5 separate regions of the Mus musculus genome follow, and regions 1, 2, 4 and 5 are each reported to be linked to region 3. The links are microRNA targets in miRTarBase. Many come from high-throughput screens and were not tested one by one. Region 3 holds a microRNA gene; each other region holds the end of a gene's coding sequence.

What was found. Region 3 holds the annotated microRNA mmu-miR-122-5p (UGGAGUGUGACAAUGGUGUUUG, at 2,686-2,707, shown strand). A microRNA usually pairs through its seed, bases 2 to 8, with sites in the 3' UTR of a target mRNA and lowers its output. Matches are read on the target gene's strand: a 7mer-m8 pairs with bases 2 to 8, a 7mer-A1 pairs with bases 2 to 7 and ends in A, and an 8mer does both.
Region 1: miRTarBase lists Gpx7 as a target of mmu-miR-122-5p. The part of its 3' UTR that is shown has no 7-base or 8-base seed match.
Region 2: the mRNA of Aldoa is a reported target of mmu-miR-122-5p. Seed matches in the 3' UTR shown: 8mer at 3,769-3,776.
Region 4: miRTarBase lists Alas2 as a target of mmu-miR-122-5p. The part of its 3' UTR that is shown has no 7-base or 8-base seed match.
Region 5: miRTarBase lists Hjv as a target of mmu-miR-122-5p. Seed matches in the 3' UTR shown: 7mer-A1 at 1,743-1,749.

Annotation. Positions count from the first base shown.
Region 1 is chr4:108,397,511-108,402,233 of GRCm38, forward strand. Gpx7 (glutathione peroxidase 7) reads right to left here. Exons shown (of 3, transcript NM_024198.3): 3 at 2,707-3,487. The coding sequence ends at 3,324. It overlaps Gm32297 (a long non-coding RNA gene), which reads left to right. Exons shown (of 6, transcript XR_003955247.1): 2 at 1,559-1,673. Among named protein-coding and RNA genes, the nearest start is that of Gpx7, 6.8 kb to the right of the region's middle.
Region 2 is chr7:126,791,615-126,796,337 of GRCm38, forward strand. Aldoa (aldolase A, fructose-bisphosphate) reads right to left here. Exons shown (of 9, transcript NM_007438.4): 6 at 4,603-4,686; 7 at 4,336-4,510; 8 at 3,999-4,198; 9 at 3,620-3,900. The coding sequence ends at 3,805. Ppp4c (protein phosphatase 4, catalytic subunit) reads right to left here and starts at 933. Exons shown (of 9, transcript NM_019674.4): 1 at 809-933; 2 at 447-609. The coding sequence starts at 544.
Region 3 is chr18:65,246,181-65,250,903 of GRCm38, forward strand. Mir122 (microRNA 122) reads left to right here and starts at 2,681; the gene lies at 2,681-2,746. It overlaps Mir122b (microRNA mir-122b), which reads right to left and starts at 2,741; the gene lies at 2,683-2,741.
Region 4 is chrX:150,569,473-150,574,195 of GRCm38, forward strand. Alas2 (aminolevulinic acid synthase 2, erythroid) reads left to right here. Exons shown (of 11, transcript NM_009653.3): 11 at 856-1,150. The coding sequence ends at 1,019. Apex2 (apurinic/apyrimidinic endonuclease 2) reads right to left here. Exons shown (of 6, transcript NM_029943.2): 6 at 2,035-3,210. The coding sequence ends at 2,296. Among named protein-coding and RNA genes, the nearest start is that of Apex2, 16 kb to the right of the region's middle.
Region 5 is chr3:96,527,123-96,531,845 of GRCm38, forward strand. It overlaps Hjv (hemojuvelin BMP co-receptor), which reads left to right. Exons shown (of 4, transcript NM_027126.4): 3 at 1-460; 4 at 942-2,094. The coding sequence ends at 1,568. Among named protein-coding and RNA genes, the nearest start is that of Hjv, 4.3 kb to the left of the region's middle.

The DNA.
Region 1 (4,723 bases), not on the chromosome of region 3:
GAAGTTTCAATTATCATTTTAAAATATTTTAAAAAATTATTTATTATTGGGGTCTGCCATGGATGTTAGTGTTGATTTTCTCCTTCTTCCTTTTCTGTGGGTTCCGAGGCTTGAACTCAGGCCCCCAGGCTTCCATTGTAAGTGCTTTTAGCCAATGAAATACCACCTCAGGCCCTCTCCTATATATTTGCCTCAAGCTTCTACTCCTAGGATCATGTTCCAAATATTCACTTTCATACACAAACAAAAATGACTAGGAAATACAGTATACAAAAGATCTGTCTATACTCGAGGGGACAATGTCTATTTCTAATTGGCATGTAATCCCTGACAGGAAAGGACACAGACATAAATCACTAAGTCACAAGGAAGAACTAAAAAGGACTAGTAGATAACATGGTTCAGTGGGTAAAGGCAATAGCTGCCAAACCTGATGACTTGAGTTCTATCCCAGGAGCCCACATGGGGCAAGGAGAGAGCTAATTCCTTCAGGCTGCTCTCTATTCTCCACACATGCGCTGTGTTTTGTGTGCCCTCTCCATCCAATTAAAAAAAAAAATCCTGCATCCTGAGGTGCACCAGAAATGGCATTTAGAGGCTTTGGGGACCAAGTGGTATCTTGAGCCTATGAGGAATTTGGGGGGTGCCAATGTGTAGAGGGGGCTTCCGGCCTAGGGTGACCAAGATGAGCCAAGATGCTGAGCTTAAGGCTCCAGGTGCTGTCCACAGAGGCTCTAGCTGAGGACCACTCCCCAAGATGTCCCAACTCTGGATTCAAATCCATACGCACAAACCTTCCTTAATGCAAACTGCCTCTGCTTTGAAAAGGCAAAACAGCACAAGCAACAGAATCCAACAGTAGGAATAACCTTTCACTCCCCAGGATTCACTTGTGTCCAACCGTGAGGCTACCAAGACAAGGTCTGCTCCATCCTTCCTCTGACTTGTCACCACAGCATACAGCCTTCAGCATATCACACCCCAACACAGGCCTCCTCAAAAGACCAAAAGACAAAAGGATGATCTTAACCATCACTCTTAACAGTCCAAAGGTGGCAACAACAAAAATTTAAAATACTTAGTTTATCAAAGCTACAGGTATTTTCTATGGTGCTCAGGAGGTTATCACTAGGGACAATGAGGTAGAGGGTTGTAAGTTCAAGGCCAGCTGGGGCTATATGAGGAGATCATATTTCTAAATGGAACTAAATGAGGCTAGGGAGGTAGCTCAGTTGATAAAGTACACAAAAACTTGAGTTTGGTCCCCAGTATATATATATATATATAAATAAAGTCAGGCGTGAATCCTGGAAGGCAGAGAAAAGAGAATCCCCAGGGTCTCTCACCAACCAGTCTGGCTTAATCAGTAGGCCCCAGACTTCATGAGAGATCTTTTTTTTTTTTTTTTTTGAGACAGGGTTTTTCTGTATAGCCCTGGCTGTCCTGGAACTCACTTTGTAGACCAGGCTGGCCTCGACCATGAGAGATTTTATGTTCTGTATGCATTGCAATGTGCTACAACTTGTGGATTAAATGGTTCAAATTTCTCCCCTGTCAGGGTTAAGACCCCACTGCATGGCTCTTCACAGTTGGTGACTTCTGGCCTGGATGCAGGTGAAGAAAGACTCATCTTTCCTTTGGGGGCTGGCTACTAGGAATTTGACCATGCTCTAGTGAGTATGTGGACAACACAAAACAAACTTGGTTTTCTTTTCCCTTGCTTTTCCTTGTATGTGTATGTGGGAGGGAGGGGGGCGTTAAAAGGAGGGTGGTTGGGCATGGGAAGGCTAGGAGGTGTGAGCGATTGAGGTTCATGATGTGAGCTTCTCAAATAATCAATAAAAATTAATAATAAAGTTCTTAGAGGTGAGTGTGGTAGCACACACCTTTTATTCAGCACTTGGGAGGAAGATAGGGTGAGTTTGAGGCTAGTTTGGTCTACATAACAAATTCTAGGATAGCCAGGGCTATCTAGAGAGACGCTGTCTTAAAAAAAATCCTGAAAACTCTAGGTGAAACTTGACAAGCTAGTAAGGCCTGGTCCTTCATTAGGAGACCCAGTTGGGATGGCAAGGGCCCCAGAGGCCTTCCCTGAGAACATAGCACCCAAAGGAGCCACCATTTCTGGAATCTTACTGGGCACCTGTAGCCTGCAAATGCATGTCGACATTGTTTATTTTTCTCCTGGCTCTGATAAATTATCTGGCCAATGCAGCTTAAGGGAGAAAAGCTTTCTCATGGCTCAGTTTCAGGGACTGTCAGTGCATCATAACCAAGAAGGCACAGTGGTGGGACTGGCTCCTGGCCATGGTGGATGTGGTGGCTGGGTCACACTGTCTAAGCAGTCTGTGTGTGACAGCGGAGGTCATACTATCAAGCCATCTGAAAGAAGAGCCTGAGGTCCAGTCAGCATCCTGAAATCCTGCTCTGATAGCCATATATCTGGCCTGTATATAAAAGGTTCCATAACCCACCCACCCTCAATCAAAACACCACCACTAGCTGAAAAGCAAGTGTTCAGGTATAGCTTTGTGGGCCTTTTTTGTTTGTTTGTTTGTTTGTTTGTTTTGTCGAGACAGGGTTTCTCTGTGTAGCCCTGGCTGTCCTGGAACTCACTCTGTAGACCAGGCTGGCCTTGAACTCAGAAATCTGCCTGCCCCTTCAATATCCGCACCAAATTCCCGACAGTACTTACTTCTATTTTATGATTTGTGTTTTTATTAGTGTGCTCTCCATGTGCCTTTCTGTTTGCCTCTCTGGGAATAGATAGAGTCTTGCAAGTGTTCGAACTCTGAGTCTTTCCCCCTACCACACTGCCTAAGAACATGTGTCTTCTGTAAGTAAGAAAACAATAACAAGAATGGCAAACACATTTGGCCCAGGTTTCCACGGGCTAGACATTTATGTCAAACTCAGGTTTTATTATCACAAATAATGCTTGTTTACACGCAGAAAACCGTGCGGAGTGCTTCCCCTTCGACTAGCACTGCCCCAGGCGTGTTCACGGGTATTAGATGCTAATCTTCACAGCCTCCCTGTGAGGTAAGACTTGGCATGGGTAGGTAGAGGATTGCCTCATATCCATCTACATGTTTTCTTCATAGCCTTGCCATGTTTCCTTTGGCTAGAGGCCCGCTGGCTGGTGATGTGCTGTTAAGAACTCTCACTGGCCAGCAAGCAGTTGCTGTCCGTTGCTCTTGGATTCAAATCATCCAAGTCTTAGGATTTGTCCTCTGAGGAGTGAAGGGAAGAGAAGCTTTAGCTCTCTGCCGGTGAAGCACCACTTGAGTTTGCGGAGGGATGGGAGTTCCAGAGGGACCCGGTCACAAGTCTTCTCGTTTCCGAAGGATGAGTTTCATCACCTGCTCTGTAATACGGGGCTTGATCTCCGCCACTGGCACAGTGGGGTCCCATGCTCCCACCACCTTTCCGTCTGGGTCCACTAGGTACTTCCAGAAGTTCCAGGTGGGCTCCTTCCCAGAAGTCTCTAGAGAAAAAGGGGAGCAGAAGGTCAATGTGCCTCCCTATAGCCTCTCCTGGAATCCCAGTAGTGGTATAATTCTGGCACCCAGGCTTCACCTAGACTACTTAAATTAGAACCACGGAGAGCAAGACCCAGCTCTCAGCACCTTTTAAAAGCTCTCCAGTACATCCCAATGTGGGATCCAGGTTGAGAGAGGCTACTTAGCAGCCTGGCAAGCACCTTATACAGCACTATCAATCCTCCTTTACATGGTCCCCAAATAGTCACACCCCGTTCTCCAAGTCTGTTTTGTTTCGAGACAGGATTTCATGGAACTCAGGCTACCATAGTCTTGCTAGACAGTGTGGATGTGCAGCCTTGGAACGCCTTCTCCTCCTTGCTCCTTCCCAAGTGTGGGCCTGCTCTGCAGTATCCTGCTTCCAATGAAATCTTAATGGCGATTAATGGCCATGTACTGATGCAATCCAAATCACTGTTAGGGAGTGGGGCCTTTAAAGAAATTCTTGACTCTTGCTTTTGTAGAGCTCAGGTTTGTGCCATTATAAGATCTTTCCAGGTGCTTCTAAAGCACGGGCCAGATTGATCAACAGTCGCGGGAACTGGGAGAAAACTAACAGAACACGTAGGAGGGGAAGATGATGGCTTAACAAGAATGCAGAGCTAACCGGACCCAAAGGTCACAAGGGCTGCAACTGAGGAATTAAGGAATTTTGTATTTGTTTTCTTTCTTTCTTTAAAAAAAATGTGTATAAGTGTTCTGCTTGCATGGGTGTCTGTACATTATATGTGTACAGCGCCCAAGAAGGCCAGAAAAGGGCATTGGCTCCCCTGGGACTAGAGTAGCAGGTGGTTGTGAGGTATCATGTGGGGACTAGGAACCTGGGTTTGATTCTGGACAAGCAGCCAGTGCTCTTAACCTCTGAGCTATCTCTCTAATCTCAGAATTCCACTTAAAAAAAGATTTATTAATTATATATATATTGGTGTTCTGCCTCCCTCTCTCTCTCTCTCTCTCTCTCTCTCTCTCTCTCTGTGTGTGTGTGTGTGTGTGTGTGTGTGTGTGTGTGTGTGTGTATGTGTGAGATCCCCTGGAATTGGAGTAACATGTGAGCTGCTAAGTGGATGCTGGGAATTGAACCCAGGTCCTTTGGAAGAACAGCCAGTGCTCTTAACCAGTAAGCCAACTCTTTAGGCTCCAGAATCCCACTTTTTAATAAGCAGTCTCAAAACATCAAATGT
Region 2 (4,723 bases), not on the chromosome of region 3:
GTATTCACAAGATCTGGCTTCAGATTCCATTCCTTCCTTGCTGGTAATTTTGAACAATTGGAGTCCTTGTTTGTTAAACTAGACACAAAGTCATTTTCTCTTTTAAGGACTGACGGGATTGAGAGGCTTTCGCAAATCACGTTTTGTTTTCTTGCCTTGAACCATCTCCTCACTCTTTAAGAATCTGTCCGAGAACTCAGCCCCTCCAAGAAACTTTCACCCCAGCAGGGCAAGCCATTTTCCCTGAGTTCCCTAGAACTTCCTGCCACTCGCTCTTACTCCACTAGAAACCCATACACAGCCGCCCCGTGGTTCCTGGGGAGAAGTGGCTCTCCGGACCTCTCTCTGGCGACGTTTCCGGGCTTGGGCAAGCCCTAAGTTCTCGGCGGAGTTTGCCCGGCCGAGACCCCCGGGGCGACCGGCTGGAGTCCCTTCCGCGGGCTCACCTGGCCTTGGCGCACAGGGCCTTGACTTCGCTCTCTTTGATCAGCTCGCAGCGCCGTAGCTGCTCGATCTGCCGGTCCAGGTCGCTGATCTCCGCCATGGCCCACCCCCCCGGCGCGGGTCAGAGTCGGGGCCGCCGCCCCCTCCGGACCGCACAGGGGTCTCCTGGGAAAAGGGAAGGCGAGCCCGCCAATCAGAGGGTCCGTGCGGGAGGGGGGACTCGATTCTGGGACCGCCCCCCCCTCCCCTCACGGCGGCCCAGGACCCTCCGCGTCCCGCTGCCCTGGCCGCACCCCGCCAACTCCCGTCGAACCCCGCGGGCCCGCGCTAAGGACGGTGGCCTAGAGGGGCCTCGGACAATTACCGCCGCGGAGACTCCGGCTGAGTCTCTTCGACTCCCCACTTCCCTCCGCTTTGGGCCTCCGCCACCGCCGCTTCTACTTCCGGCCTCGCCGCGGAAGCAAAGGGAAACCAGTGCTCTCGCGCGCCGGAAGTGACGCACACGAGCCACGCCTCGCTGAGGCACCGGGAAGGAGAAGAGAAGTAGCCGGAAGTGGGCGGGCGAAGTTGGTTGGAGGCAAATACAGCAGTGCGCCTGGTGTACTTGTGTATGCCTGGTGAGGCGAGCCGCGGTAGGCTTCTCATCTCACATTACATTATTCCCTGGGCTGCTTCTATTACAGATCTCACGGATAAAACTGCCTTGTTCATCATTGCCTCTCCGGTGTTTAGAATAAGGCCAAGTATTGCAGATATGCATAAATAATTGTTCAATGAAAGAGCCTATCCTGGTCCACATTTCTTGCCACGGTCCCATGGAGGAGCTCCGAACCTGGGCCAGACATAGTGGCCTATTTGTAATCCCAGAACTCAGGAGGCTAAGGCTGATCGTGGATACTAGGCTGTCAAAGCTACAGAGCAAACACTTGGCGGGGGGCGGTCACCTCACGAAGATAGCATATCTGATAAAAGAACTTGTCACCAAACCTACTGACCTGATTTGGATCCCCAGAACCCATATGGTGATGAGAGAAAACACGGAGGCTTAAATCTAATTGAAAAAAAATTTTTTAAGTGTCCACTCTCTGGACACCAAGCTTTTCCAAAATAGTTCACTTTTTTTCTTGACAGGGTTGCACTGTAGCTTAGAATAGCCCAGATTTCACAGCGAATCTCAGCCCAGATATTAATCAACCACACCCAACAATGCTTCTTATTGCCTGAACATATTCCTTGAAGGTGGCAATGGGTTTGGAGGCTAGCTTGATCACAGTTGAATGCTGAAAGTCTGGAGTTTCAATCAAAGCTCAAATATGAATCCATAGCTGTACTTGGTGGTGCACGCCTTTAATCCCAGCACTCAGGAGGCAGAGGCAGGCAGATTTGGGAGTTCGAGGCCAGCCTGGTCTACAAAGTGAGTTCCAGGACAGCCAGGGCTATACAGAGAAACCCTGCCTCAAAAAGCAAAAAACAAAAATTAATCCAGAAAAAAGTGGTTTTCAGGTCTGGCTTTCACCTTTCATTTGCTGAAACTCAAAGCAACACAAACACTAAGCCAGCCCCTGGAGCTCCCCAAATTCGCAGTGCATGCAGTCTGCCTCCTTTCTCTTTGCCTTTTGCTGTAGGCAGAGCAGGTTATTGATCTTCTGCACACCATACTCCCTCTTTTTCAGTATTCTATTGTCCCTCTCAATTTTGAACAATTTTTATGTGCCTTAAGATTTTCTTATAGAGGGTGGGGAGATGGCTCAGTGGTTAACACTGACTGCTCTTCCAGCCTGCCAACCACCTGGGTTCAATTCCCAGCACCCACATGGCTGCTCACAACTGTTCCAGAGGATCCAACACTCACACATACACACATTTCAGTTAAAATACCAATGTATATAAAATAAAAAGGATCGCCTCATAGAAGCTAGGAGAATAGCACATGCCTTTCATCCCAGTACTTGGAAAGCAGATCTTGAGAGTTCAAGGCCAGTGTGGGCTACAGAATTCTAGAGAGCAAGGCTACAAGTACGTGATGAGCAGTAAAATGGGAGGCTGAAGTTTGGGGAAGCATAGGGATTTGAGTTTTCCCTTGCAGCACTGGGGAAGGAACCAGAGCTTTGAGTACTCAGCCACTGGGCTCTATCCACAGCCTGCGCATAGCTTTGACTATTGGCCAATACATGGGAATATTAGGACAGTGGAGACTATGCTTTGATACTCCTAGTAAGACAATTCTACGCAGATCACTGAAAACGAAAGTGTCAAAGAAAAAGATGCTTGGGAAGGAAAACAGAAAGCACAGGAAGGGCAGAGAAGGCAGGAAACAGGAAATGCTTAAGATCTAAGTCGTCCCCAGTTATACTTAGAGTCTCTAGCACTATAAATTACTAGAGGTATGATGGGGCTGGAGAGAGAACTCAGCAGTTTAGCACCCACATGGTGGCTCACAACCATGAGTAACCATGCAAGGACTCTGCTACTGAGTTATAGTCCGAAGCCCTCACTCCTTAAGGTTTCTTATCTTGCCAGAAGCTAGCACTTGATACACTCCTTTTGGCCTCCAAAGGCAGATACACTGTATCCATTCATTTAGGCAGAATTTTTTTTTTTCAAGACAGGGTTTCTCTGTATAGCCCTGGCTGTCCTGGAACTCACTTTGTAGTGAGTTCCAGGTTGGCCTCCTGCCTGCCTCTGCCTCCTGAGTGCTGGGATTAAAGGTGTGCACTAGCACACCGACTACACTCAATATAATGTGGCAAGAATACAGATGGCCCATGGTTTGATGTGCTTCTTATTCTATCACCAGGGAACATCAGCAGCTCTGAGGCTCCATTCTCAACCTGGAACCCAAGAGTTCTGCAGTTGAGCTGTATACCTATGTCACTGCAGGAGAGGATTCTGCGTTCTCCAAAAGGCTCCATAGTCCCCAAAAACGCATAAATGTGTTAGCCCTGATACAATCCTTGCCAAGTATTCATTAAGCCCTTGGTTGGCTTAAACTGAATATTAATTAGGTAAAAGTTACCTTCAATTAGATGTAGGCAAAGAACATCCCATAATACTATGCCTTTCTCAAAGCTCTGGTCAAAAAAACCCTTCCTTTTACTGTCCAAGAAGAAGAAACCCAAAGTAAGGCTCTTTCCTCAGGCCCTCCCCTATACCCTACAAGACATGAACAACAGACTCCCCCTTAAATAGTTGTTTATTGGCAGTGGGCTGGAAGGGATGGCAGATTTAGCATTCACAGACAACACCGCACACGAGGGCAGCAGCAAGAGTGATGGGAAAGAGCCTGAAGACCCCTCTTCAATAGCAAGTGGGTAGGCAGGGGCCTGGAGTGTTGATGGAGCAGCCTTAGTTCAGCTCTGGTTAGTAGGCATGGTTAGAGATGAAGAGAGATTCACTGGCTGCGGCTCCAGACTGGCCACTTGGGGTATACTTTCCTTGACAAGCGAGGCTGTTGGCCTAAAAGGGAAGAGGAATCAGAGGAATTCTCTTCTTGAGTCCCTCCCCACCCCGCCCAGGCACCTGTTCACACTTCCACGCCTGCCTGCCTGCCTTACCAGGGCGCGCTTGATGTACTCCTCCTGGGCTGCCTTCAGGTTCTCCTTCTTCCCACCCCAGGCCTTTAGAGCAGAGGCCTGCAGGGCTCGACCATAGGAGAAAGTCAAGGCCCATGGCTTCAGCAGGGGGCACTTGTTGATAGCATTGAGGTTGATGGATGCCTCTTCCTCACTCTGCCCTCCAGACAGGAAAGTGACCCCTGGAGAACAAGCACAGAAGGAAAGGGACCTGCATTAGAGATGCGGAGCAGGAAAAGCCATGAGGCGTCACCCTGGACAAAGTCAAATGTGATGGTGCATCCACCTCACCAGGCCAAGATGAGGGAGTGGGCCTCACCAGTGACAGCAGGGGGCACTGTGCGACGAAGTGCTGTGACCGTTGCCATGGCAATCTCCTCATTGGAAAATTTCTGGGTGCAAGCATGGCCAGGGGTGACCATGTTGGGCTTCAGCAATGTGCCTTCCAGATAGACATGGTGGTCGCTCAGAGCCTTGTAGACAGCCGCCAGGACCTGGAACACAGCAGGGAAAGGTGGAAAACAGGGATTACCTCAGCGGGGCCCAGCCCACCACATTATCCTAACCAAGCAGATGGGCAACCTACCTTCTCAGTAACATACTGGCAGCGCTTCAAGTCATGGTCCCCATCAGGGAGAATTTCAGGCTCCACAATGGGTACAATGCCATTCTGTGGGAGGGACAGGGTAATGAGGCAAGGCCTCCTG
Region 3 (4,723 bases):
TTTTCTTCTCGGTGATACATTCATTAGTAAACAACATTTGGAAGAACAGGAAAATATTCTGCTGACAGAATTTGATCACTTGGTCAAAGAAAACACAGAAAAACAAAACAAAACAAATGTTTCAGTAGTGTCTAAAAATTGTTCAAAGGGCCCTAATAAATGCGAATTTATTTCTTGATATAATAGCATAAAGTTAACTATGCTGCATAGTACTTCAGTAATTATTTGCTTAAAAAAAATTTTTTTTGACCTGAAGTCTCTCTCTGTCAGCAAGACTGTTTCATGGTGGCAAATACATCTGTTTGAGTCAGATAGGTTCCAGCTTTCATATTTACGAAAAGTGTTTACAAGGAGGATTTATTAAATGGGGTTATCCAGAAGGAGGAGGGAGGACTTTGAAATTTTTAAAATTCTCATTATTTTTCTCATTTCCAAAGCACTGTGAAAAAAATTGTGAAAATTAATAAATTCAATGAAACAGAGGTAAAAGTCCAACAGCAGCTCCCTTTCCACCTGGTCGAGCGCTACAGTAACATGAACGCTGTACAGTTCTCCCTGAAAAGGGTCCGAATCATATGCACTGTTTTGAAAACCACTCCTCTGTTGGAAATGAAATCTTACTTTGTTTCCAAGTCAACAACAGCCAACTTTTTACCGAGTCGATGATTGCAAGGTGAGGACCGTGGTCCAGGTGAGTGTCGACCATTTCCCAAAGCATGAGCCATGTGCAACCCTTTATTTTAAATAATGTCACTATGAATTAGCTCTTATTTACTCATTTAGTTAGTTAGTTAGTTAGTTTACCTTTTCCTTGAGATGTGTGCTTGATTCATGACCTGCCCGAAAGGCAGAGAGGTTAGGGGAGGGTTGCGTGTAATATGTTGGTTGGTTCCCTCCTGTTCTTCCTCCTCTGTCTTTTGCACATCAAGCACTGAGAGGTCCTCAGCCCCTACAGCACTAATGAATGCCTCACCGCTCCTGGTCGGCCTTACTACACGTGGGAAGGGGGTTCTAGAGACCTGCTGAGATGGTCAGAGCATCCCCGGGAGGGGGTGAGGGATGAAAAAGAGGTGGGATTTCAGTCCTAGGTCCTCCAGGCAGAGAAATAAATCAGCATAGCTGGTCTCTTGGAAGGAGTGGTGGGGAAAGACAGGTCATCACCTACACACACACACACACACACACACACACACACACACACACACACACACACACACTCTCGAGGTCCCCCATCATTGCATGGCCAGCACAAAGGTTTTAGGGTGGCGCTGGGTGTCAGCAGGAGCTTCCTGGTTTCACAGAGGAGTGCTTGTCTAACACTAGGCTGAGTGACACTCTTTTCCTGCAGTCTGCTGGGGCCACAGAGGAACAAAGGAAGCCAACTATTATATTTTATTTTTTAATTTTTTTTAGTGGACAACAATCCTGTCAGCACCATAGAAAAGGAAAGGGGCGAAGAGGAGCCAAAGTGGGAGGGAGGTCGGAGGTCACAGAATGCTGTTCCTGCGGCATCTGTCTTAAAAGGGTGTCTAAAAGGTGTCTTAAGGTGGTCTCTATGGGAATACAGGATAGAAGAATGCGGGAGGACTCGTTTCGCTTGTTACAGTTTAAGCAAATCTCTAGCCAAATGTTAACAACTCAGCTATTCTGGGGATGGGGGTGAGTCAGGAAACTGGCACCCAATCTTCCCCCTTCTCAACATTTGGGGAAAATAAAGGATTAGGTAAAACTCTTTTCGTTCCTCTCATTCTCCACCGTGAGCAGAGGTTCACAGAACCGGTGAAACCGTATTTAACTGGAGACAAGTCAATCCAGAAGGCATTTGCTCACACAGCAACCTTCCCACTAGAAAGTGAACCTTCCCGCTAGAAAAAAAAAGTGCTAACTGTTTTTATTTCATTCTTTCTTAGTTGGACCCCTCACCTGCTGCCTGCAGTTCTTCTAAAGAATGGCTGTGCAGAATACGACTTAAAGTTTGAGCAAAGTGGGGTGTCTCTAAATTCAAAGATTCCACAGAGAGGAGGTCCTAGCCCATAAAGAATAATCACAAGCTGGGAGTAGGGGGTGTGTGCCTTTCATCCTAATACCCAAGAGGCAGGCATAGGTGGATCTCTGTGATTTTGAGTCCAGTTGGGTCGATATAGTGAGTTCAAGGCCAGCCAGGGCTACATACTAAGAGACCATTGTCTCAAAAGATAGAAAAAGAAAAGAAAAGAAGAGAAGAGAAAAGGAAAGGAAGGGAAGGGAAGGAAAAGGAAAGGAAAGGAAAGGAAAGGAAAGGAAAGGAAAGGAAAGGAAAGGAAAGGAAAGGAAAGGAAAGGAAAGGAAGTCATAATTTTCTTGAACCAAAGAAGTGATCACATTTGCTAGTGATGGATTGGAAACCATGACGAGGTGAGAGTGGGTGGGATCTATCACCTAATGGAGTTATTTCCTTGTATGATGTGGTTTGTAAGAAGTGTCTGCCTCTTCCTGGAATTCAAGCCTTTTAGGAAACAGATGTAAACAAATTTCCATCCTGGTAAAGGCCTTTGTGAGCCCTCCTTGTTATTCAAGATCCCGGGGCTCTTCCCTATGCTCCAGTTTCAGCGTTTGGAACCACTGAGGAGTCTGTGACAGACAACGGAGGAATGTGAAGGGAAGGTTAATACCCTTGTGCCTGACAGACTTTCCTTAGCAGAGCTGTGGAGTGTGACAATGGTGTTTGTGTCCAAACCATCAAACGCCATTATCACACTAAATAGCTACTGCTAGGCAATCCGTCCACTCCACGCGTGACTTGACGTCTGTTCTCTCCGAGCAAGAAGTTCTGTCTTGTGCTAGAGTTCTCCATTGTGTGTAATGTATGAATAAAATCTGGTCCTCTTGTGCTTATAACTGTACATCTGACTGACGCCTTCCCCTCGTGTGCTATTGTGAAATGAATAATGCTATAAAGGAAAAGACCAGTAAAATCCAACCTCTCCTATGGGACCCTCCCAACACTGACTACCCTGACACCCAATTTATTTCCAGCACTAGGCCCACTCTCGATTTTGCTCTGAACGCTAGCGAGGCATTATTTCCATTCACTGTTGACACTGCCTCTGTGGAGTTAGCCCTGAATCCAGCAGGTGGATGGCACAGTCCCTAAGACCCAACTTCAGATGTCCATTGAATGTCCTAAGTTGCTTTCCTTGTGTTTCTGACTCACCAGCTATAAACTGGGGTTTCCACACCTGTGTTCTCAGGTCCAATTCTCTTGCTTGAGTGGGTCTAAAAATTCAGGAAAACGTGTTGGCCAGCTTATTCCAAAGGATAATTTAAAGGCAGAGTGGAGATATGTTCTCCGGGCACTGCTGCATATTTTTGGCTACCTAGAAGCTCTACAAAGCTGTCCTTCATAGATTTTATGGGTACCCCTTGGCATGGGTTTGATTCAGTAGACATGAAAATGTGCTGGCGACCCCACAAGCCTCATGGACAGATAAGGAGGTGATGTACAAAGTGAAGAATCAAACTTGAGTCAGCAGCATCTTGGCAGATATTGGTTCAAAAACTTCCAGAGTCTGATCTTAATGGTTGAATTTTCTTATATAGTTAAGCATAGCAAAACTTTGGGGGAAAGGACACCACATGACAATTATCACCACAACGCTTTAGGCATAGCTACATAGAGTCCCCCTAGCTGAGTAGCAAAGCACCTGTGACCTTTACAGTGAGAATGAATTCTATTGGCTGATAAGCAGAGCTCAAATCTAGAGCCCAATGAGAAAGGATTGGTTTAAGTGTAAGAATAGTCTCTAATGGTGGGGGATGCAAAGTTCTCATCACTGAGAGATAACGCTCAGCATCAGGACCTAAACAATGACCAGGCTATTGGGGGACTCGTGTGGAGGCTAACTCCTAGTGGAATAGCAAAGGGTCACCAGCAGGTTGCTTGACCATTTCCAGTCTGGCTTTCCAGACGTCATTCATTTCCCTCTGTTGGAAAAAAAAAAAAAAAAAACAGGCTTGCGGGACTGATCCAGTGTCTCCAATACTTCCTCTAAGCATGCTTCTTACAGAAATGTAGTGGGACAAAAGGGACAATCGAGGTCTAATGATTAGGGGGCGTGCAAGCAATGTTATCAATTCAGATGTTTCGTTCTTTGTAGTCTTAGGGGAGGAACCCCATAGAATGAGGAGAAATGATTATCAGACAAGGTAGATGGGAATTATGAGCCAGGAACCATGGATGAAAATATATGTGCATATACATACATACATACATACATACATACATACATACACATGTATACACACACATACACAAAATTAAATCATAATGATGGTAAATTTCCTTATTTTCCCTCATTCATTAAAATTAAAAAAAAAAAAGTCTCCCAGAGTACCCAGCACAAGGCTAGTCATCATTCCATTGAGTTGATGTTAGGAAAATGTAGATGCAAAAACAACTAAAACTAAGTGTCTTAGTTAGACTCCTATTGCTGTGATAAACACCATCACCAAAAGCAACATAGGAAGGAAAGGATCTATTTGGCTTATGTGTGCTGATTGCAGTTTATCTCGAGGGAAACCACAGTAGGAACTCAAGCAGGGCAGGAATCTGAAGGCAAGAGCTGTGATGAAGTCCATGGAAGAGTGCTGCCTGCTGGCTTGCCCCTCCTGGCTTGCTCAGCTTACTTTCTGATACACTCCAGAATCACCTACCCAGGGATGACACCCTACTCAGTGCTCTGAG
Region 4 (4,723 bases), not on the chromosome of region 3:
ACACTGGAGAGAAGATCTGAAGGAGACAATGAGGTTAGCTAGTTAAGTACCTAACAGACATCTCAGAGAACAGTCCAAAGCAAATACCGAAAGACAAAAATATTCCCTTTATCTTTGGGAAACAAAAGATGGGTGTGGATGGAGTCCCATAGGTAAGTGGCAGAAAAAATGAGCAGAAAGGGCTTGGTGGAGGACAGGTATGATCGATTCAGTTTTGTCCAAAGTGTTAGACAGCTAATTAGAATTAGGCAGCTAAGCAGAGACGCTATTAGACATACAAATCTGGAAACTGAGACAGAGTTCTGGGAAAGCTGGAAGTAAAAAAATTCAGAGTCATCTGCACACAGATGGTGTTAAGAACACAAGACCAGATCATACCAGCAAGGGATGAGCAGAAAAGGGGTTAAAAACAAAAACCAGTCACACACCTGAAGTGCTTCCCACAGCAGCTTCTGTTCCCTCCTCTGGGTCCCTGCTCACCCCAGGAATGTGCTCACAACACTGATAGGACAGTATGATTCCTTTTAGTGTTGTCTTTATCAGGTCAGGATTTTCTAAGCAGAGAGATTCACTGTTGGGCCTATACATGTTCTTTATGTAGGGAGAGATACAGGCTAGCACAGCATGGTTTTAAATCCTGTCACAGGCATGATTTCCTGTCTTTTATACATCCTAGGACCCACAGACAAATGGTAGCATTCGTGGGTTATACTGAAGCAGACAAGTAAATCTACTTCTGGACCCAAGTTACCTCAAAGGATAGAGGGAGACAAGACCTTAGCGCATCTGTAGCAACACAGGTTTTAGAAGACCAGGTCTAACCAATTCTTTCCCTCTTTTCTTCTTCCATTTCAGAGAAGCTGCTGCTGGCCTGGACTGAGGTGGGGCTGCCCCTCCAAGATGTGTCTGTGGCTGCATGCAACTTCTGTCATCGTCCTGTGCACTTTGAACTTATGAGCGAGTGGGAGCGATCCTACTTTGGGAACATGGGACCCCAATATGTTACCACCTATGCTTAAGGAGCCAGCTGCCTTGGATGCCAGCTCCACCTGCACTCCCCCTGGGGCTGGGCTTCCTCCTGCTCTCTGCTTTCCTGTGTGCTTCTGGCTGACTTGATTCTGAAAATAAAGAGCAACTTGAAACATTCATAGCCCTTTGGTAGACAGAAGAGCAGACAATTTGTATTATACTCACTCACTCAGACAAGTCTAGCCTCACAGGGAAACCACAGATTACTTGTTGGTCTAATCACTCTATTTTACTAATAGGAAAAGTCAGATTTAGGAAGAGGAAAGAAATGCCCCTAATCTGTACTGGAAGCTGTACAAAGATCTAAACTCCTTAGCTAACCTGAAGTGGCTTTCCCAATAACTTAGACAAAAATACAGGGCTCTACTTTTCAATGGGAGACCTGGAAAGGTGAGCCCCAGGTAGCCTCTGAGGTCAGAAGATGGAATAGGTCTTAACTAAAGAATGGCTGTTCTTTGGGAATAATGGCTTCCCCATGCCAAGAAATCTTCCAGAATAAGGAATGGATTCTTTCTTGATCCACTATCCTCTTTTTCTCCAATAGCATCTTATAGGATTTCCTATCCTTCTGCAAGGTGAAGGAAGAAGCTTGGCTACAGTATACAAGGTCTTCACAGCAAGGCTCCCAACAAAGCCTCCCAACTCTACTGGCCAAGGTGGCCATCTTCCCTGAGACTTATGGTAACTCAAACCCTGGACCTCTGAAGGCCGAAACACCAATTCTTTCTCTCTGGTGATTCATGTGTAACAGCTGTAGAACACACTACTTAGAAAACTCTTTTAAGAATACACACCCTCACACTACACCCACCTTCTTCACTGATCCAACCTCAGAGTAGCAAATGATCCCCAGAGCTCACCTTTCCTGGGGAGCACAACTCCTCCCTCCACCATGTCGCCTTGATAGTATCTCACTGGGTTACATGAGGCCAAGCAAGCCTCGAAATGAGAGAGCCTCACACTCAACTTTTTAGAGTGCATCTAAAATATCCACTCAACATGGTCTACTGAAACAAAGACGTGACCTTTATTTATGAACAAAATGTTATTTATGCCCTAACAAGGGTTGAAGGGGATTAAATTAGTTCCCTGCTCCTCCATGTGCAAAGAGGAAGAAACAGAGATGTGAAAGGGGAGAGGCACTAGGGGGAGAAGGGAAGGAGTGGAGGGAAAGCAGAGAACAAAAAGAAGCCTTCATAGGCAGGGACCTGGCATCTGACCCCGTGCACGGGGTGAACACGAAGACATCCCTATGCCTCAGTCTGTTCAGCTGGGCCTGCTCCAGAGGAAGAAGTTACAGCGGGAAGAGGGGTCACTGGGAGGACCTCGGGGTCTAGCACACATGTAGAACTGGCGACCAAAGTTGGGTCCTGTTTTTTTCACAGTACGCATCACACATGGCTCCCTGTGGCCTCCACAGAGGGGCATGGGTGAGGGCCCACTCAGCATAGACTTCCAGAAGGCAGTCCTTTCTCCCTTCTCATCTTTGGACTCTGGAACCTTGTTCTTCTCTTCTAGCATTGTGGCTGTTGCCACCTCTTCTGCAGTCTTTGGGGTTGTAAGAGGGCCCACCAGAGGCAGGGTAGGCAGCTCCACACCAGAAGTTTGGGAAAGGCTGGAGGAAGGCTGGAAGTAACTCATCAGGTTTTTCTGTTTTCTTTTGGGGCCACCTTGACTTTTCCGAAGCCTGGTTGAATGCATGAAGGCTTTTCTTGGCTGTCTCTGTGCCTGGATTTGATGGCTGGGCTGCAGGACTTGCTGTTCCCGCACAGGTTCTTGCTCAAGAGGAACTAGGAAGCGAAGAATCTTGAGCTGGGTACCTGCAAACTCGGGGAGGAAGCGGGTACACAGAGCTGGGCACTGTTTTGCTGGCACACAGGATACATTTAAGACAGCTCCCACAGGGCAGTGGTCAGAGCCCATCACTTCAGGGAGTAAGAAGGAGGCCTGGAAGGTATCTATGACCAAGGCCCTATCTCCCAGTACATAGTCAAGTCTAGAGCCATAGTTGAGATGGCGTGCACCACTGACCACTGACCAGCAGGTGAAAGCCCTCTGCTGTTTTGGATGCAAGTAGCGGTAGCTATCCATGAAGAGCCCTATGTGGGGTCCAGCCTCATCCCCTGGGTTACTGAGCAAGCCATCCATCCACTTACGCCCTGGGTCCTCTTCAAAGCATTCCTGGGAAAGGGAAAGGGAATGAAAAGCCAAAACTAGATTCTTAAAACAGGACGAAATTTAGACTAACTGCTTCATTTTACAAATAAGAATATTTGGTTGTCCTAAAGAAGATTCCTGTTCAAGGTCATATAGCCTGGACCAGGAAAAACTAGGCTTTGGTTTCTTTTCTTTCTTTCTTCCTTCCTTCCTTCCTTCCTTCCTTCCTTCCTTCCTTCCTTCCTTCCTCCCTCCCTGAATTTGCTTTTATGTATGGGTCTTTTGCCTTCATTGTCTGTGTACCATATACATGCAGTGCCCGTGGGGGCCAGAATAGGTCATCAGTTTCTTAGGAACTAGTGTTTTGAACTGCCATGAGAAGGCTGGGAATCAAACCCAGGTCCTCTGCAAGAGGGCTAAGCATTTTTCATAGCTGAACCATCTCTCCTTCTCCCACAACATGAGCTTTTAAATAAATGATGCTACAAATCAAAGCCTGGAATTAAAGAGAAAGCTCAGTGCTTAAAACATGTACTCCTCTTGCAGAGCACCTGAGTTAGACTCCACCACTCATACAGATACCTCAGAACCACTTGTAACTCCAGTTCCAGGGAATCCAATGCCTCCTGGCTTCTATGGGAACCTGCACTTATGTGTATCCCCGCCCCAGATACATGGGATAAAAAAAAATAACTCTTTAAAAAAATTTCTGTTTGTCCTTCTGTCTATCCCATACTGTGGTTACCTTGCCAAATGTGAAGGTCTATTGTTTAGTTAATCAAAGTAATTCCCAGAACTAATTTTCAAAAGACTGCCAAACAAACCCAACCATGATGGTATACCTATAAGTTCACAACTCAGGAGGCTAAGGTAGGAAAACTGGCATCAATTTGAGGCCACTGTGGACTACAATGTGTGTCAATGTCCTCACTGACATTCCCCCTTCACTTGGGAGCTTAGGGGATTCAAGCATCCACATCTGTGCCTTTGTCTCTGATCCCTGATCCAGCCACTCCATACATTTATCCAGCTTACCCACTTATAAACCCATTGATTTAGTGTAAAAACATAGTCACAGGACACCTGTTTTGTGACAGAATTGATGCTAGGGGCAAAGTAGATACAGTCTTGATAACAAAGGATGCTTGCTTTGGGGAAAGGATCTGAAAAGAAGATATGAAGGCCATGTGGTAGTAACTCCAGTATAGGGGGCTCCAAACTCAAAGAACAGCTCTGTAATGGACTTGTGGAAGGAGGGTACAAAATATCTCAGTGACCAGAGGAGACACCAGACTGAAGATTCCAGTAGGATAAGACCACCATAATCCATCAAGTAAAAGGTGACAGATACTTAGACTAGCATGATGCCAAAGAGGACAGAACAACGTAACATGAGATAATTTGAAGATAGAACAAATGCTAATGACTGGCTGGCTGTGGCAAAAGGGTAGAAAAGGACAAGAAGACTAGACAAGCAGCTCTGGTGGAAAACAGGCACATGCCATTGTTTGGAATGGACTGTACCCATCTCCTGTGC
Region 5 (4,723 bases), not on the chromosome of region 3:
GCGTGGAGGCGGCCGTGGTGGGCTGGCCTCAGGTGGCTTGTGTCGCGCCCTGCGCTCCTACGCTCTCTGCACGCGGCGCACGGCCCGCACCTGCCGCGGGGACCTTGCTTTCCACTCTGCGGTGCATGGCATAGAGGACCTGATGATCCAGCACAACTGCTCACGCCAGGGTCCCACGGCCCCGCCCCCGGCCCGGGGCCCCGCCCTGCCCGGGGCCGGGCCAGCGCCCCTGACCCCAGATCCCTGTGACTATGAGGCCCGGTTTTCCAGGCTGCACGGTCGAGCCCCGGGCTTCTTGCATTGCGCATCCTTTGGAGATCCCCATGTGCGCAGTTTCCACAACCAATTTCACACATGCCGTGTCCAAGGAGCTTGGCCCTTGCTAGATAACGACTTCCTCTTTGTCCAGGCCACCAGCTCCCCGGTTTCGTCGGGAGCCAACGCTACCACCATCCGGAAGGTCAGAGATTCGATTTTCATCCCAACACAATTTCTTGAGCCCTCTCACGGTCTGTCCGCCATACCACTCCTTCTTCTTCCCACTATTCAGCCACCCAGCTCCCTGTTCTTGTCTTTCCCAAACATTCCCTTCCATCCTGAATGGCTTCCTTCCATCAAACATTTGCTCTTGTAAATGTAATTCAGGAATTTCTTTCAAAGCAAGTAACTTGGGAGTTGCTGAGACTGAGACAAAAAGGAGAGAGAGAGAGGGAGGGAGAGGGAGAGAGGCAGATAGAGAGAGGCATAGGGAGAGAGATATTAGGAGGTTGAGTGGGGGTCAGGCACTATTAATGGAACACAGTAGGGGATAGGATCAAGGACTGAGGACCCGGAAGAAACTCGCATTTCTGCTGGGATCGGATCCCTGACTCTCTATGCAGCTTGATTGGCGTGAGGATGCTTTGGGCCCTAATGAAGTATTTTCTCTCTTGTCCTCATAGATCACTATCATATTTAAAAACATGCAGGAATGCATTGACCAGAAAGTCTACCAGGCTGAGGTGGACAATCTTCCTGCAGCCTTTGAAGATGGTTCTATCAATGGGGGCGACCGACCTGGGGGCTCGAGTTTGTCCATTCAAACTGCTAACCTTGGGAGTCACGTGGAGATTCGAGCTGCCTACATTGGAACAACTATCATCATTCGACAGACAGCTGGGCAGCTCTCCTTCTCCATCAGGGTAGCAGAGGATGTGGCGCGGGCCTTCTCCGCAGAGCAGGACCTACAGCTGTGTGTTGGGGGATGCCCTCCGAGCCAGCGACTCTCTCGCTCAGAGCGCAACCGCCGTGGGGCTATAGCCATAGATACTGCCAGAAGGCTGTGTAAGGAAGGGCTTCCGGTTGAAGATGCCTACTTCCAATCCTGCGTCTTTGATGTTTCAGTCTCCGGTGACCCCAACTTTACTGTGGCAGCTCAGACAGCTCTGGACGATGCCCGAATCTTCTTGACGGATTTAGAGAACTTACATCTCTTTCCCTCAGATGCGGGGCCTCCCCTCTCTCCTGCCATCTGCCTAGTCCCGCTTCTTTCGGCCCTCTTTGTTCTGTGGCTTTGCTTCAGTAAGTAGGCCAGCAACCCATGACTGGTTTGGAAACGATTTGAGGATAGAGGTTGGTGTGAGAAACCACAAAGATGTGCCAAAGGAAACAGCGGGGACAGGAGACAACACTTACTCAATCAGATGAGGTTGCAGTCCAGGGCTGAAATGACCCTAGAATAAAGATTCTGGGCCAGGGTTTTGCACTCCAGACCTTGGTGTGGGCTATTCACCATGGATTTCCCAGTTAGTGATTTCCCACTTGTAATGAAATTCCACTCTCCATACACCTGATACCACTCCTACAAGCCTAGAGATTGTGAGAGTGCTAATGACCAGTGAAACATTAAAGGACTGAGATATCGTAAAGGCAAAAACATGATTCTCTTTGAGAAAGTCAAAAGAGGAGAAGCTAATTAGGAAAAGCTTTTGGTTCAGAAACGAAGTGGGCATTGTCTGGCAGAGGAAGTCAGCTTTTGGAGACTGGCACCAACTCAGAAACGGGCATTTCCATCCCTTCCTAATCTGTTATTAAAGCGATTAGTTCTCCATCCTGTCCTCTGTTGCCTCTTTTAAATCCCTTTGCAGATGTGGCATGGAGTTGAGGCTGTGTGTTCACCCCACTGAAAGAGGCCTTGCAGTTACCAGCTATTGTCTCCTCCCTCTTGGAGTCTACAGGTTGTTGGAGAGAAAAAAAACTGGTTCATAGGAAGGAGTCATGAGTATTATTACATTTGTTTTTTATTTTCGGGGGAGCCTCATGTAGTCCAGGCTGGCCTTGCATTGCTGTCCAACTGTCTCTACTCCTCAAGCGCTGGGGTTGAAGTGGGTGGAGGAGTGTGTAATTCTTCACTGGATTCTATGGCTTTTGGATTTCTGACAGAGGATTCAGGTTCTGTTCCCAGCGCCCACAATACTAACAATGGCTTGCAATTATAGTTCCAGGGAACCTGATACCTTCAGGCCTCCTCTGGCATTTGTGTGCACATACTGCACATAAATTCATGCTGAACAAACACACATACATGTAAAAAATTTAAAATATATCAAGTTTTTTTGCTTCACCACTTTGTGCTCCCAGATCGCATGCTTGCATCCACCCAGGAACTATCTTTGGGTCCTCAAATGAAAGACACACACATTAGCTTATTTTTAAAATGCCAAAAAAAAAAAGAAAAAAAAAGTTAAATGAATTGAAAAAAAAATGCCTTGACTATGTCAAAGGCTGGACACTCCTAAACCTTCCCCTGCTATCTCAGGCCCAATCGGGGAAGTGGCCAGTGGCCACACGGCTGGTTGGCTTTATCTCCTGCTGCTCCTGCATCCCATCTTCTTTCCCTGAGTGAGGTGGTTCTCTCCTGTTCCTCTCTGTGTCCTCACCTGCGCAACAAGGCTCTCCCACCCCATACCCAATCATTGGCTGTTGGCATCTTTATTAATTGATCAAAAACCACCTGGGGACAAGGACCTTTAGCATTTGGACATGCAGATTCCTGATTGAATCAAAGCATTAGAACCAATCTCCAGCACCAAACACACACACACACACACACACACACACACCTTATCTTTATGTTGGTGGTGCTGGGGGGTTTCTGTGCATTGGGGATGAACCTGGGCCTGTGTATACTGTCTAAGCACTGTATATCTCATTTCTACTGTAAGGAAGGTGTGGTACAGAAAGATTGAGCATCTGTCCCACAGACACACAGCTAATAAGTAGCAGAGTCAGACAGTGAACAGACACCGTTTGCATCTGAAGATGTAACTCTTAGCCAGCCAGCGCATTCCTGAGGAAAGAGAGTGACAAGGGGCTGTGATTGTGGAGCAGGCAGAGGCAGGGGATTGCGGCGACAGATGGCACTACGAAAGCTCTGCTCTTTTCTCACGTGAAGCCAAAGACCTTCAAAGTGTTGGGAAAGGGAAACAAGCCCAAAGCCACCGACCTTGTGGAGGATAAAACTAAGGTCAGAAGGTGTGCTATTTGGGGTGTTCTACATAGGCACTGCTTCTAACCAAACAAGGAGAGTGATTCCACACTTGGTGCCTGGCGCCCCTCTCCTGCAGGCTCTCAGTGCCTGGCTCCTCTGCAGTTCTCAACTCCTCTTTGACACCTCTCTAGCAACTCGGACCATTCCCAGAGCACAGTCTTTATATTTTCTGAATCAACCTTTAGCTCATCTAGGAAATAATCTATTCCAATGGGGACGTTTCTGTGTGTGTGTGTCTCTCTGTCTCTGTCTCTATCTCTGTCTCTCTCTCTCTCTGTGTCTGTGTGTGCGTGTGTCTGTGTGTGCCTCTGTGTGCGTCTGTGTGTATCTGTGTGTGTACTGTATTTACTCCTGTACCTTAACTTATAGATACTGTGGGCACTTTAATGACATTTGTTTAGTTTTGTTTTTTACAGCGTCTTATGTAGGCTGAGCTGGGCCTGAACTTGCTACTGCTTCCATTTTCCAAGTTTTGGGATTGGCCTGCACCACCATGCAATTTATTCAGTACTGGGGACCGAACTCCAGGCTTCGTGCATGCTAGACAAGTACGGTGCCAACCGAACTGCATCTCCAGCCTTGCCAACATGTTAGAACAAAAATCGCTCATTCTTAAAGAGCAACTTTATTCCTCAGAGGTGGGACTCTCAAAGAAAAACTTCATAACCAATTGGCTAATGTCATTGTTTTATGGCATCAGTCATATAAAACTCTTCCTTGCTGAGACTCGGGATTTAGCCCTTTGCCCCATGGAATGTTTAAAACTGAGTAGCTCAAATGAACACAAGAAAAGACTACCAGCATTATTAGTAATAGGGTGATGCAAATCTAACTAAAACTTTGATGAGAAAAGCTGGGGAGATAGTCAGTGGGTAAAGTGTTTGTCTCGTGAGGATCTGAGCTTGGGTCCCCCGCACCCACTTAAAGGTTGCACACAGTGATTCATGTCTGTAACTTCCTTCCGTCTGGCGGACTGAGACAGGCAGATCTCTGGGGCTTACTGGTCAACCAGTGTAGCAGAAATGGTGACTTTCAGGCTCAGTCTTAAAAAATAAGGTGGAGGGCCAGTGAGATGTTCAATGGGCCCACGTATGAGTGTGGTGGGAAAGCCTGGGCTTCTAAAATTCCTTCCCAGGAGAGACCAAGTGCAGGTTACCCCTTTCCCCTAAGGTTTCACTGACAGACAAACCAAGG